2 linked regions of the Rattus norvegicus genome follow. The protein of the gene in region 2 purifies or fractionates together with the protein of the main gene of each other region. This does not show direct contact. Links are inferred from orthologs where the notes say so. Each region holds a gene or a part of one and is shown on either strand. Other genes may lie near its edges.

What was found. Proteins that work in one complex are often made in the same cells at the same time.
Region 1: the proteins of Usp18 (region 2) and Stat2 purify together in Homo sapiens (affinity purification with western blotting; 6 studies listed by BioGRID and IntAct, with this or other methods). This does not show direct contact. The link is inferred for Rattus norvegicus from reciprocal best matches to the Homo sapiens genes USP18 and STAT2.

Annotation. Positions count from the first base shown.
Region 1 is NC_086025.1:1,290,032-1,293,596, reverse strand, and holds part of Stat2 (signal transducer and activator of transcription 2), read right to left. Parts: intron 3,459-3,565; 5' UTR 3,452-3,458; coding exon 3,321-3,451; intron 3,203-3,320; coding exon 3,052-3,202; intron 2,825-3,051; coding exon 2,729-2,824; intron 2,208-2,728; coding exon of another isoform or gene 2,193-2,207; coding exon 2,100-2,192; intron 2,008-2,099; coding exon 1,932-2,007; intron 1,542-1,931; coding exon 1,456-1,541; intron 1,231-1,455; coding exon 1,079-1,230; intron 1-1,078. UniProt on the Homo sapiens protein: Signal transducer and activator of transcription that mediates signaling by type I interferons (IFN-alpha and IFN-beta).
Region 2 is NC_086022.1:156,153,766-156,157,330, reverse strand, and holds part of Usp18 (ubl carboxyl-terminal hydrolase 18), read right to left. Parts: intron 1,546-3,565; coding exon 1,466-1,545; intron 1,227-1,465; coding exon 1,080-1,226; intron 588-1,079; coding exon 492-587; intron 33-491; coding exon 1-32. UniProt on the Homo sapiens protein: Interferon-induced ISG15-specific protease that plays a crucial role for maintaining a proper balance of ISG15-conjugated proteins in cells. Regulates protein ISGylation by efficiently cleaving ISG15 conjugates linked via isopeptide bonds.

The DNA of each region.
Region 1 (3,565 bases), on a different chromosome or scaffold from region 2:
AGGCCCTGGGTTTGGTCCCCAGCTCCGAAAAAAAGAACCAAAAAAAAAAAAAAAAAAAAAAAAGAAGGCCCGGCTACTTGGGTTGTGTCCCTGGAACCCATATAAAGATGTCAGTAGAGAACCCCACAAAGTTCTCCTCTGAGCTCTATACACACCACACACACACACACACACACACAGACACACACAGACACACACACACACACACACACACACACACACGCACACGCGCACACACACACGCGCGCACGCGCGCTCTCCCCATCATACAGACACACAGTAGTAGACAGTAGACAATTTAAAGAAATGGTGTCTGGGGCTGGGGATTTAGCTCAGTGGTAGAGCGCTTACCTAGGAAGCGCAAGGCCCTGGGTTCGGTCCCCAGCTCCGAAAAAAAGAACCAAAAAAAAAAAGAAATGGTGTCTGGAGAGATGGCTCAGCGCTGACTGCTCTGCAAGAGGATCTGGGTTCAAATCCCAGCACCCACATGGTGGCTCACAATGGTCTCTAATACCATCACACAGACACACACACATGCAGGCAAAACCTCACCTGCAAATAAAAATAAATCATTAAGGAGCATTTTAATGCACATTTTATAATATTCCACTTATTCTCTTAAGGATTTATTTTATTAAGTGGGTGTGGTAGCCCATGCCTTTAATCCCAACACTGGGAAGACAGAGGCTGGAGAAATGGTCAGTTCAAAGCCAGCCTGGTCAACACAGTGAGTTCCAGGGTATCCAAAGCCACATAGTGAGACATCGTCTCAAAAGCAAACAAAACAGGGTAGACCGGATTAACCCAGTACTTTCCTTTGCTTCTTTACCAAAGCAAAGACTGGACCAGGACTCTCTGAGTGGCGAGGACAGCGTACAGCAGAGTATATAGTCACAGTCAAACCAGAGAAGCGGCAGAAGACACGGAGGCATCATTGGCTGTTGTTTCCCTGTCCCTTCCTGCCTCTCTGTTCTCCTTCTGTGCTGACATCAGACCCAGGACTTGGGAGTGCAGAGGAGCACTCTCCCACTGAGCTCCACTGTCCTCCATTCACTGCACCAGCCCCCGAGGTTCTTACCACTGTTCCAGCTGATCCAGCTGCAGCTCGGGTGCTGGGGCTCCAATGCAGGACTTCTGCTGCTGAGCCTTCCACTCATCCAGCTTTGGCAGCAACAGGTCGACCAGGGTGGTTAATCGTCCAACCAGGGCTTTGGAGATGTCCAGCACCTCCTAGGAAGGAGAACTCATGAGTGCTAAGTACCTCTCACCACCCCCATCCAGCCGATGAAGAGAACAGGAAACTAAGATGGTGAGGCCATAGCCCCCTGATCCCCTCCCCCAGTTCTCTGCTGCCCCCAAACCCGCTCTGCTGCCCCCCAGTTCCCTGATACCCCCTGAACCCCCTCTGCTGCCCCCTCAACCCCCTCTGCTGCCCCTTCTGTGCCCAGCCCCCACCTTTCTCATTCTGTCCAGTTCATTGGCTGTTGTCTGCACAAGCTGCCGCTGTTGGCTCTGATGGGGGTCCAAAGACGATGTCTTCTCTGAAAGGCAAGACCAAAACTCAGACCACATGTTCCTTCTGCTCTTTTCTGTCCAGGGTCTCAGTCAAAAACTGAAAATGCTGGATGGGGAGGAAGGGAGTACCAGAGAAAGTACAGACACCTGGAGTCCCACAGGCAAATTCTGGATGGACCAGAAGCCCATTCAACCTGCTAAGGCAGTTTACTACACAATCCCTCTACCATTTGCGAACTATTCCTCAATCACATCTCTAGTCTGCCCTCCACAACACACCCCACACCTCTGCCTTACATATCGATGGGACTACTGACGCTGACATAAGGGGCCCTAGGTGACCACTGCTCAATGGAGCACCCAGCCTCTGCTGTCCTTCCCACTGGCCCCTAAGACGGCCCCTTGAGTGGACCTACTGTGATTGAGAACTGTGTATCTGAAGCTGAAGACATCCTGCACATCCTTCAGCTGCCTGATGGATCTCACCAGCGCCTGTGGAGGAGATGGGACCCCAGTGAGGCTTTTCTGAGGGCAGAAAAGCTTCGATCTCCACTCCACACCCAACACTTGCCACAGCCACCAACCTCCACAGCAGTCTGTAAATCCAGGATTCTTGTTTCAATCTCAAGCTGCTGCTGGCTCTCCCCTGCCGCTTCAGGGGCTGGCCTGGGCTGCATCTGAAGTAAGAGGTTCTGAACATGTTTGAACTCTGACTGGTTTGTTTGTTTAAGACAGAGTTTCTTTCTCTGTGTAGCCATGGCTGTTCTGGAACTCATGACATATAACAAGCTGGGTTCAAACTCACAGAGATCCACCTGCCTCTGTGACTCAAATTAAAGCTGTGGGACCCAAATGCTGGGATTAATGGTATGGGTCACACACCCCACTCCCACCTGAACTCTTGAGTTTTCATCCCTAATATCAGGACCTGAAATTTTACTGCAGAGTGTGGGGGAGAGCCTGGTCTGAGAGGAGTTCCCTGAGTCTCTGCCAGGTGCCTTGCTGTCCCAGGGGCTTTCTTGCTTGCTTTCTTTTTTTAAGATTTTATTTATTTGTTTTTTTGTTGTTGTTGTTTTGTTTTTTCATTTGACTACACTGTAGCTGTCTTCAGACACACCAGAAGAGGGCATCAGATCCCACTGTGGTTGAACTCAGGAAGAGCAGTCAGCACTCTTAACCACTAAGCCATCTCTCAGTACCACACTGTTCTTACCTCTTGAGCTCTTTGGGCCTGATTCAGAATCCTTTTCTCTTCCAGGAGAAGATTGAAGATCATCTCAGCCAACTGGGTAGGGCCATTGGGAAACATCTAAGTAGAAAAAAAAACAGAAGCACGGTCCCATTTAACTACCTTAATGACCGCCCAGTCCAGACCCTGCCTTCAGTGTCTCCAGTATTTTTCTCCTTCATAGACCCTGAATCTAGATTCAGTCCATTACTCTGCCAGTGACACCCCATGTCCAGACTCTGTCTCCCAGCTCTTACTCTAGACTCAAAGGCTAGTCCCACACTCTTATTCCCAGCTCTTCCAAGTACCTGAATGTCCCGATTGAATTTTCGCAAGTTATGCTGTAATAAAAGGTAGTCGGAGTCCAAGCTGTAGTGGTCCCACTGGTTCAGCTGGTCCAGGATGTTGAAGTATAGCATGTTGGCCTTGGAATGATCACTGCCTAGTACAGCTTCCCTCCTGGGGACCGACACAACAAGGGCTCCATAAACAACCTGCTGCTCTGCGATCGCCCAGGACATCTCGAGGATGGACCCTGTGTGCTCAGAAGGAGCCACCTGAACCCCCAAGTCCTCACCAGTTCTGGTCTTCAATCCAGGCAGCCAAGTGCTGTCGGACGTCCATTGGCAGGAGGCTTTGTGAGTAGAGCTCATGCAACTGGTCCAGAAATGGACTGTCAAGGTTCTGCAACATCTCCCACTGCGCCATTTGGACTCTGAATGGGAAAGACATCCGTTCTCTGCTGGATATTCTATTGGACCAAATCATTCATAGTCTCTTGGCTTATTTACTTACTGTCTGGTTTATAAAACACACAAACAC
Region 2 (3,565 bases):
AGGGTCTGAGGGAAACCAGTCAGCTTCTGAGCCTGAAGAGGCAAAGTCAGAATGAAGATGAAGTCTATGGGCACCTGAGACGGGCAGGTTCAGAGCAGGGTCAAGGGTGGCGATGTGCTCTTTCCCATAAGGGAAGTGCAGAGCGCCTTCAAGAGTCATGTGACTGAGTGTCACTCACCACACGTCTCCAGAAGGCCTCTGCTCAGGTTCAGGAACCGTGGGATGTATTCTAGGCAACTCACCCAGGAGGAAAAACTCTACCTACTGTCCTCAAACCTTCTCTTCTTGTTTCTACAAAGTTCTTCCTGTCCCTCTCAATGATATGGTCTGAGATGCCAAGTCTGAAGTTATACAAATAAGAAGCCCCAGGACTCCAGGTACCCAGATTCCCTAGGTCAGCCATTATGAAATGCCCTTGACTGGTCTGCAAAGACTTGTCAGGAAACCATGGGTCAATCCAGACCAGGGAAGAGTCTGGGTTTAAGGAGTACCTGTTTGCAAGGCGTCTTCTTCCCGCAGGTCTCACAGAAGCACTTGTCTGAGCTTGCTAACTCTTTGGGCTGGAAGAAACATCTCAAGGCATCCTCCTGCCCCAACCAAGAGAACAAGCAAAAGGTAGCATCATTGTTTCCCATCTCAAAGACAGCCCTCCCCCACTGCTAGTGGAAGCCCAGGCTACCCTTTAATCCCCACTCCCCCCAAGTGGGCACATGTGTTACACTGGGCAGAATTTCAGAAAGTGCCCACTGGAGGGAGGAACAAAACTGGAGGGGACTTGCCAGAGGAAGAGCATGAGGAAAGCAGAAGGGGACAGAAAAAAGTACCCTCGCCCAAGTCAAGGGAGAGATTGGCCCAGGGTCTACAAGTAGAGAACAGGAACTGGTTCTCTAGTTCCCATCTTCCACCCTGTGGGACCCAGGGATCGAACTCGGGCCGTAACTCTTAGCACCAAGCACCTTTACACGCTGCACCATCTTGCTGGCCCAGGAGTTACTTCTTTAAAAATCCAAGGGCAAGTCATAGAGGCAAGGGTCAACTCAGGATACACAACAATGAGTCACCAACAATGAGTCTCTCACCAGTGTTTTTAGGGGCTTTGAATCCATATCAAAAAGAGGAAGAGAGAGAGTGAGCAACTTGCCCCTCCTGCTGCTCTCTGCTCCACAGCCCACGCACATCAGGGACTCCTCGGTCCAGATTGTGAACAGATCCTGCAGCCGCTCTGCCTGCAAGTAGAGAGCCGGGATAGGTAAGATGACCTAGAAGTCACTTTAGCTCAGGGAACGTGGTTTTTTTCAGACAGAAGTTCTAGAAACAGCCGATACAAAATTTTGCTTCCGGGCCCATAAAGGTGCACGCCAGGGAGCTATGCCAAGCAGTGGCGCATTCCTCGCTAATAGCGCACACAGTAGTGGAGCAGGTTCCACCAGGAACATCTCTGACTTCTCCGGATCCCAGCCCTTACCAAGTCTATGTCCGTGATCTGGTCCTTAGTCAGGTTCCAGATTGTAAGGAAGAGATGAGCAGCATCGTGCTGGACAAACACTGGTCGGGGGGGAAGCGCAATTAGTAAGGAGACATGTCCGTGCCCTTGCCGAGCCACCAGGATACCAGCCTCGTGATCGCTCAGCACTTTGTCCTCACCTAGCTTTCCCTCATTTTCAAAAAGACCAAATGAAAACTAAGCTTTCGATTCTTTTTTTAAGAGTTTCTCTTAGAGCTAAGGTCACAGTGCCACCACTTCCTCTCACCATCCTCTGTCAGCGAACCCGCAGATCCCAACTATTTTCTCTCTGGTTGGTTTGTTTGTTTGTTTGTTTGTGTTTGTTTGTTTGTTTGTTTGTTTCCTGAGCAGAGACTACGTCTGAACTCTTCTGCCCCCTGGTGGCAATTTTTGTTTACGTCACTAAAAGCAGGGCCTCTTGCTAATCTGACCAGGTTTCCCCAAAGGTGACTGAGTAAACAGAGCAAAGAGAAAAGGGTAATACCCATGTTGGATGATCCTAGCCAAGACCAGCAGGAACTTTGCAGGGTAACTATCTGTTATCCTATATAAGGAGGCCTGAAATCGGGAATGGACACAACTGACTTTAATGGTGTTGGTCCAAAGAAGTGGGAAGTAAGAAAATCACATCCCTGCCAGAATGCATAGACATTTCAAGCCAAGGCAGTTTCTCAGATCATGCCGAATCTTCCACAAAGGCACTAATGACTTCCCTTCATGATACACATCACAGCACAGACTTGATGCTCTTTGTTCTCCTTTGATTTTTGACCTGTCCTGCTTCTAAAATGTTAGTTCCCTGGAGGCAATGTCTCTCTGATTCCTGTTGCCTTACGCACATCAAATCTACAATGATTGATGTGAATATATTAATTGAATCGAATACATTATTTCATCGATATAATGAATCCCAACTCAAAAACAGTCTATCAGACAACTCAGAAAAAGTCTATCAGATGGTTTAAACTGATTTAGCCAGGGAATTATGCGCAGAAGGCTTCCTGACACAGAGCTAACACTGATGTAAAGAAAATTAGATATGGGTGCTGAGATGGCCAGTTTTGTCTTGTTTTGTTAGATTTATTTATTGATTTTATGTGTATAGATGTTCCGCCCATATGTATGTATGTATGTGTACCGTGTGCATGACTAGTGCCCTTGGAGGTCATAAGAGGGCATCTGATCCCCTGAAACCGGAGTCACAAATGGTTGTGAGCCACCATGGGGGTGAGGGGTCCACACCTCGGTCCTCTGCAAGAGCAACAGGTGCTCTCAACAACTCTGAAGTTTCTGGGACATCAGTTTTTTTGGGGGTTTTTTTTTGGTTTTTTTTTGTTGTTGTTGTTTTTTTCTTTTTTCTTTTTTTCGGAGCTGGGGACCGAACCCAGGGCCTTGCGCTTGCTAGGCAAGCACTCTACCACTGAGCTAAATCCCCAACCCCGGGACATCAGTTTTAATTGTCAACTTGACACAATCAAAAAACACCTGGAAAGAGGGCCTCAGTCAAGGACTGTCTCGAATGCGTTGGTCTGTGAACATATCTGCAGGGGTTGCTCTGACTGTTTTAATTGCTATGGGAAGACCCAGCTCGACCTGTGCTGCACTGTTCTTGGGCTTGGTCCTGGACCATATAAACAAAGAGAATAAGCCAAGCATGAGAAGCCTGTCTGCATTCATTTTCTCTGAGCTTGGCTGTGGGTGTGATTGGCCCAGCTGTTTCAAGTTCCTGCCGGCCATTCCAACGTCCCTGCTATGACAGACTGTACCCTAGATTTGTGAGCTAAGACAAACCCTTTCTTCCCCAAGTTGCTTTTCTTCAGGGTATTTTATCGCGGTGACAGAAATGGAAGTTGGACGGCCACCATCTGCAGTGGTTATTTTTAACCTCACCGGGGCTCCCAGAGCCAAGAGTCCCCAGTCATCTACAAAGTGCAAAGTTGGAATCTTTTTAAGAATCATGAAAAACTCTGTTCTCTAGTGTCTCCAAAGGAGCACAATAACTTTCTAGCAATGGACCCTAAAGGAAAGAAAACTAATGTGTTGTGTAACAGAGAACTCAAA